Regions from separate parts of the Mus musculus genome. Here region 1 is reported to be linked to region 2. Evidence: microRNA targets listed by miRTarBase, many of them from high-throughput screens and not tested one by one. Region 2 holds a microRNA gene; the other region holds the end of a gene's coding sequence.
What was found. The annotated mature microRNA mmu-miR-743b-3p reads GAAAGACAUCAUGCUGAAUAGA and lies in region 2 at 2,996-3,017, shown strand. An mRNA with a match to its seed (bases 2 to 7 or 8) in the 3' UTR can be bound and repressed. Matches are read on the target gene's strand: a 7mer-m8 pairs with bases 2 to 8, a 7mer-A1 pairs with bases 2 to 7 and ends in A, and an 8mer does both.

Region 1 (4,061 bases), not on the chromosome of region 2:
TTATACTCTTTACTAAACAGAGGTGCTCATGAGGAAGGGACTAGACAGCTTGTCACAGCATCACTAACTAGACTGCCTGACTTTAATAAAACTCTCTGAAAACCATACTACTACTGTATTATTGATTTATTGCTCAGAAGAGATATTTCCAGTGGTTAAGCAATAACCCCATTTTAGAAAAATATATTAAAGACAGGAATAAATTAAGACATAAAAATATTTTTAAAGAGTGGTCACTGGGAGTAGATAAGAGTAACATACTCTAATTCTTACAAGAAAGTTATAAAATAAAAGGATTCTATCAACATAATAGCTTTCATTCTGCTTTTCTCTGTTCCCTTTCCTCTCATATTTTTTTTTTCTTTTTCTTTCTTTCCAGGAGCATGGCCTGTCCTTATTGATGACTTTGTGGAATTTGCACGCCCTCAAATTGCTGGGACAAAAAGTACAACAGTGTAGCACTAAAGGAACCTTCTAGAATGTACATAGTCTGTACAATAAATACAACGGAAAATGCACAGTCAATTTCTGCTGGCTGGACTGAAGATCAATCCTCATAATTCAAACTGAGGGTTGAGACAAAACTTTTAAGGATACATCTTGGACCATATCGTACTCCATTCTTCTACTGGTGGTTTGGGCTTGTCTTCTAGTCTGGGCCACTCTAAGCATTTATAATTCCGACATTGTGGATTTCATCTTACACCTGTGGACCATCTTAGTCTGTCTTCCCATAAGTCATAGAAGCTTGATGGTGATTATTTTGAGGTTTCCATTCTTGCATAAAGCACAATGCTGTCTTCATCAGAAAACAGTTTGGCATAAGAATTAAACATAATAATGAACACCACAACAATTTATAAAAACTTCTTAAGTATATGCTTTGGGCTAGTTGCAAAGACTGTGCTGGCAGCACTTCAAATGAGAGTGATTTATCTGAGTGTACCGCATCTGAAATGGTGTTTGGTTGGGGGAATTTAATTTTCCTGGCAAACTACATGTACTGCTGGTGTGAGTAGAATACCTGATATAAGAAATATCAAAATAACCAACACATGAAAAAAAAAAAGGATAATCTGGGGACTCCCTGAAATATGTCTTGTGTTTCAGACGCTCAGAAAGGTTCTACAGAACAGGTCTGTGGTTATCTTACCCATGTTTATACAGTGTCCTGCAGTGAACTTTTATTTAAAAAAATATTGTAATGAGATCAGATGTTAGACTCCACACTCGTGCATCACACACCACATAATCGGATTTCATTGTGCTCTGAAATACTTCTATGCCTTCTGAATAAGTTAAACTATTTCATTTGTTTTGAATGTTTTGGATTGCTATACAATATAATATTCTAAATTTAGGCATGAGGGTATTAGGTTTGTTTGTTTTTTTTTTTAATTTTTTGTCATCGCACTATGGAACACAATGCAATTCACTTAATTTATAAGAAGATAGTAAGATTTAGATTTTGAAAATGGTTGTGATGAGCCGTGAAGTTCAACCTTTCTCCCATGGCACTGCTCTTTGAGGCGTGGTCCAGCCATGTTGGCTGCTGACTGTTGAGATGGCTTACTGCTAAATCACTGTGGTTGCCAAGTCTACTCCAGAAGCAGAGATTGTCAGACAGGCGAGCACTGGTGCAGATACCAATGGCTTCTGTTCTATAAATTATTTGACTTTTGACTGTTTTTGTCTCACTTGCATTTGCTATTTCCACATCACAGCAGAATGCAGTCTTGATTGGTTTTGTTTTTTGTTTTTCCATGACAGGACTCATGCCTTGCTCTCCTGCTGAAAATGCTTGTTTCTCTGATAACATACTGACATGTGAAAGGGGTGTATTCATACATATTTCCATGAGGAAGTTAAAATGATGAACTAAATGTTGGGTGACTGGTCTTCAATAGGAACAGATTTTGCTTCATGTATCCAGGTCCTCTGCAGGGTACCAAGGAATGTTCTTCAGGATAGCGGAACAATTTATGCAGATATGGAAATGATTAAAACTGCTTTTTAGTCACATGATTTGGAAAATGCATTGAAAGCTTACCTTACAGATATATCATTAATCCAATCATAACTTTAATTTAGGAATGCATTTCTACCAAAAGAAGCTTAGAGTAAATTTCTATTCACGTTACAGGGATTGGTCATTAAAAGGAAAAGAATCTTGCTGTTTTCAGTATTTCTTGATTTCATTTTTTGTAAATATAAAGAACTTCAATTATGAAAAAAATTAAAGATATATGTATATATATCTTTAAAAGTTTTACAGACCTATATTGTTTATTCCCTACATGGAACATTTTGAGTTTTGGTATTGTTTTCAGATTGATTGATTCAGATATGATTTGTTTTCAAATGAGACTCCATTAGCTTCTTTCCCTGCCTCATAAATTTTTTTTCATAAAAATCTTGATATTTGTGTGTGGCCTAATGCTTTGGGTTTTACAGATTTTATTTTTAAATGCAAGACTTTTTAACAAAATAGTGTTTGTCATCAGTTTGGTACTAAACATTTACAATTACTGTGTAATTATAAACAAAAATATATAAAGCTTTTATTATGTAGCAAAAAGAGTTAAGGTTGTTCACCATGATGGCATCTTAGAATTAAACAAGACTTGCTAGGGCTCCAAGAGAAAATTGATTTAATGTGTTTATTCTGAGGGTGACTGTCTGGTTCTAGGAAATGTTTTGTAATACAAATGCTTACCCTATTGGGGGCGGGGCGTCGGGGAGTCTTCCAGAGGAAGGGCACACTCACTCACACACAGCCAGCTATTGCCGGCAGAGGATCATGGGGTTCAGTCTTCGTGTGGGTCAGGTCTCCAAGCTGATTCTTTTCTTTCCAGACAGAACCATAGGGAGAGTTTACTTTTTGCCAAATGTCAGAACAGGTACACATTTTTAAATGTAATGCTTTTTAAATAGTAAACTGTATAAAATGAGAAGTACCCACATATAAAAATACTTGAGGTCAAGGTTCTCTTGAGTGACTATCATCTGCATATCTCTGTAAGTTCAAGTGTGTCGTTTCCAATCCCTGTCATATTACCCACAGAGGCAATAAAAGCTTCAGTAAATTTGCCATGACTAAATCTTCTCCCATATTATTTCAGTGTTTTAGTGTTTCACATAACTAGACTAGACTTGAAGACTTTTCATGGCCGAGCGCTGTAATGGCACATCTGGGGGAAGAGAAGCTACGCCACGTGTTTGCTCCGTAATGTTTACAATGTGCTCAGCTGTGTTGTTTATTTAACTGCGTTAGTTGTATACTGCGGCACTGTGAGTGCACCCCTCATCGAACTTTTAAAAAGTTTTAGTGTTGGTAAATTCGCTCACTGAAACCATCGGGAGCCTTTTATGTAATCTCTTTCCTGAATAATTCTTAAACAAGGTTGACATTTTTTCCCCCCTCAAGGATCTGAGTGCAGAGTTCTTTTTTTATTTTTTTCTTTGATGATAAGTTTTTGAGCCATTCCATGCCCACCCTGCTTGTGTGTTTACGTGTGTTGCTGTTAAGGACTGTTTGGAAACCTGTCATTTTGGCATACAAATAGGAGCAAGTTGACCTAAGAGAATAATTTGGGGATGAAAAATGGAAAATGGTGTTGGGAAAAGTTATACTTGTTTACAAAGTATGCCCTTGTAACATGAATGACCGTTCAGTGAGCGTTTATGTGGCTCTGAATGTTAAATTGTGTCTTTAATAGGAAATATTTACCTGACACCTCTGGGCTTTTTGTTGTTGTTGTTACCTTAAACTTTTAATAATATGGTTTATATTGAATGCTGAGATGTTTTGATAAGAGTTTACCAAATTTGATAATGTAATGATAAATGTTTTAAAATGTGAACTATTTATCATATATCTTAATAATTGAACTGTGGCTTTTATATGACAGATGATGAATAGGGTCAAATTATGGCTCACCCTTTAATTGATTATAAACTTGAGTGTATTTCTGAACCCTTTTATTGCTTCCATTTTTATAATCATAGCAGTACTTTTTATTTCATAGGAATCTAGTGAAGTTAATTTCTGGTTTCCATTG
Region 2 (4,068 bases):
TGTACCTGAAGAAACTATGCTCTCATTTTTTTTTTAAGTTTAAATGTTGTGGAAGTTAGCATTATTCTAGCTTGCACAGAACCCAAATTATACAAATTATAAGAACAGAAAATTGCATGCCAGTCTCAATAGGGATCATGAATATAAATATCAGAAATAAAACCAATCAATGATTTCAGGCCCAACTGAATATCAATTCAAATATCTTGTGACAACTTAGATGATGAGTGCACGAAAGTGGACTGAAAAGCTACAAGTAATTAGAGTCTTCCTTTATAAATATGGCCCTAAGTGAAAAAGAACCAAACAGATTTAAATTCAAGTCACTGAAATTATGATGGTATCAGTGATTTGAATTTAAATAGACCAAGTTCCTATCTTCTGTATTCTGTAACTTTCTCCAGTAATTGAACAGCGATATACAGGTACAATTGTGTTGTATTCTCATCCTATGCTCCCAATATTCTGATTCTTTTAGAAGATTTTCATTACCTAGTTTTTAAAAGTCATTTGCAAAGTATATCACTGATTAATCTTAAAGTCACACTGGCTATCTGGCTATAGGTCAAGAGGTCTTCCTTTATCATGCAAGGTGACAAAGTATATTTTGTATTCCCAAACAGTTGAAAATAAATAAATCAATGTTAATATGTCATGCTGTAATTGGTGAAGTGATGAAAACTGCTTGGGATGATTAGCCTACATGGATGATACCTCCATATCTTCATGCTTTATGTTATATCTCACTCAAGAAGCTGTTAGACAGTTGGACTACCGACAAATCTTCCAGGTAAAGTACTGCTCTTTAATTCAGTTATTTTTGATAGGTTCTAGGTAGTATTAGTGCTTTCCATGTAAGATCACTGATAATGGTTTTCAGGATGATCACAAAGCCTTACTATACAATTGTGTGTATCTTTTTAATCACTTTCATGGGACAGCATTCAAGCATCTATGTTAGGTAAGGAAAAGGAGAACAAGGTGCTAAAATTAAGAATTATGCTTTCATAAAAAGAAAATGAGGTACACTGTGTTAATGAAAGACTAAACACAGAAACGGTTTGAGTCTTTGTTGCCCCATATCCTTACTTTTTCAACATAGTGTAGACTATCCATGTTTCACCTCATGGGTACTTTCAAAATAGAGAATGTAAAGAAAGAAGATAATCTAAAGAAAAAAAAAATAATTTCCTTCCCAGTAATTAAATAAAGTTAAAGGACTTTTATCTCTCTGATCCAGAAGTGGTAGAGATAGAAAGTGAAGGAGAGTATATATATTCCCTAAGAACTTGAGTTAAGGACTCCTGAAACTTCTTGGTAATGCAAGAGTCAGATGAGATGATATGTCTCCATTCATTTTGGTGTGTGCATTGTGATATAGGACAGATACCAGTCACTTTCTACTAACCTCTCTCAATATAAGGATACAGAAAAAAGTAAAACTTGATGAAGATGATGAGGACGATGATGAGGATGATGAGGATGATGATGATGATGATTTTGATGAAGAGGAAACTGAAGAAAAGGTCCCAGTGAAGAAATCTGTACGAGATACCCCAGCCAAAAATGCACAAAAATCAAACCAAAATGGAAAAGACTTAAAACCGTCAACACCGAGATCAAAGGGTCAAGAGTCCTTCAAAAAACAGGAAAAGACTCCTAAAACACCAAAAGGACCTAGTTCTGTAGAAGACATTAAGGCAAAAATGCAAGCAAGTATAGAAAAAGGCGGTTCTCTTCCCAAAGTGGAAGCCAAGTTCATTAATTATGTGAAGAATTGTTTCCGGATGACTGACCAGGAGGCTATTCAAGATCTCTGGCAGTGGAGGAAGTCTCTTTAAGAAAAGGGTTTAAACAGTTTAAACAGTTTGGGGTATCTCTCTCAATATAAGGATACTCATAAAGTACTGTCATTGTAAATGTAAGAACATAGATGCACATGCAAGAGTATTTTCTGATTCTAAGATCGATTGTAGCTACCTTCACAGGACATTGTTTAGGTGAAGATATAGGGGGAACCTTTCATCTAATTCCTATTTCTCATAGGTGAAAATATTTAAAATTAGGGACATAGCACTATGGAAAATAAGTTTAGTTTCATTTTAATTTTTAAGTGCTTTTTAAATTAAAATATTTTATAATTCTCCCCTTTCGTTTCTTCCCTTCAGCCACTCTAATCAACTAACCCCTTTGTTCTCTCTCTCATTCATGCCCTGCTTAGTCCATATTTTGAAAGTTTTATGTATGTTATTTCAGTGCTGACCATGGAAAAGCAGTTGGTGGGCTCTTCTCTGCTGAGTACTATTTCTCCTGAAAGCTTTTTAGTGTCAATCCCTATACACATTAATGTCAGTGAGACTTAAGTGCGTGTACACATGGTCTCTCAGAGTGAGTAATGTTCAACAAGCTCCTTACTTTGTATACCCTGGACCTTATACTTCGTCTTCAAAGGCATCCTTGAGATTGCTACCATTTTCATCATTTCTCATTTAAAGCCCCACTTTTTTAGACTTAAAAGGTGCTTAAGGTTGTACACATGCCTCAAAATGGTCAGAGAGTGCAATTATAAAAGTAATATGTTTATTATTAATGGATATTTAATATCAGCAAAATGAGATAAAAAATTGGGATCACAACATTCAGAAGGAGAAATGAAAGGTGAAGGATTTTGTCATTTCCTGGACCTGTGAATAAAGAAATCTAGTGTTCACCTATCACACTAGACTACAAGAATTGATGAAGGCTCATGAAAACTAGTATATACTGTATTTATCTTCACAGCATACATCCTCAAGGTGAATTTAGACAGGATCCTCAAATATGATGGTTATTACTACATGGTAGAGAAAAAAAGATGAAGCATCAGTCATACTGATGCAAAGCATGCAACTAGTACTTAACTTTTTGTCCAGGACACTGAAATAGGAGTGGGAGAGGGCAGTATGTTGTGTGCAGTGCTGTGTTCAGACTGGTGTCCATCATGTGAAATATTTGTGAAAGACATCATGCTGAATAGAGTAAGGCCCATGATATTCTTCATTTATTATGCCTTAATTGGTCAGAGTGGTGCAGTGCAGTTACACTTGACATGAATCCCTCATTGTAATTAGTCATATGTAACCCTCAGGATCCATATTTATCCAGAGTATAATTTTAGATGTTCAATTTTTACACAATTATAACATGTAGGTTAAAGAAAAAAATACTTAGAAGAAACTAAACCCACAATCAACAAATGATACATCTTTTATCTATGTAGATTTGAGAATCAACACTGTAAATAGAGACCAGGACATAGTATACAGTGAAGAACTAGAAACTCATAGCCTACTGTAGGAATGTTTTCTAATATATACATATAAACAGAAGTGAGTTTTCATGTTGAGTGGGGCAGAATGATTTGTGTGACATGTAGATGAAGGATCTGGGGCAGAGCATTCTCATTAAAGTTCTTGTATGCAGTGCTGTATTCAGATTGGTGCCTGTCATGTTTATAAGAATGAAAGACACCAAGCTGAGTAGAGTAGGGCTTATTGTGTTCTTCATTGCAGGTGGTATTATGTGGTCAGGGTGTTTTATCTGTAGTTACACAAAATGTAACCAGTCCTAATCTGTTACCTAAGTACAATTTTGATTCCCAGTGTTAACTTTATAGCCGCATATAGATTGGAGAATTAACACAAAGTTTGGCAGTCAACCATATAGTAGGACATAGTATGTTATGTACAAGGAATATTCCCTAAGATAGGAATAAATATGATATATGTTAAGGTTTTATACTCATTAAGGCAGATTGATAAATAGGATACTATTAGGACATGATTGAGGCCCGCCCTACATGCTAAAATTCTATACAGAGCCATATTTGCTTAAACTGTTAACCAGTTCTTCTGTGTGAGTAGAATAAGTCTAACAAGCTGTCTCATTACTTTTAGCATAGTGATTTTTGTATAAGTACAAATATCCTAGCATTTCTGATTATGGTGTTCTTTGACTTTTCTGGGCCCTAGGACACCTTCAGGGTTTTTAATGGTGTTGTTGTCACCTTCATGCTTTTTGTTGTTGTTG

Region 1: miRTarBase lists Dcun1d1 as a target of mmu-miR-743b-3p. Seed matches in the 3' UTR shown: 8mer at 3,708-3,715.

The regions. Positions count from the first base shown.
Region 1 is chr3:35,892,018-35,896,078 of GRCm38, reverse strand. It overlaps Dcun1d1 (DCN1, defective in cullin neddylation 1, domain containing 1 (S. cerevisiae)), which reads left to right. Exons shown (of 7, transcript NM_001205361.1): 7 at 380-3,974. The coding sequence ends at 459. Among named protein-coding and RNA genes, the nearest start is that of Dcun1d1, 39 kb to the left of the region's middle.
Region 2 is chrX:66,776,215-66,780,282 of GRCm38, reverse strand. Mir743b (microRNA 743b) reads left to right here and starts at 2,951; the gene lies at 2,951-3,027. Mir743 (microRNA 743) reads left to right here and starts at 3,465; the gene lies at 3,465-3,526. It also overlaps the pseudogene Gm14681.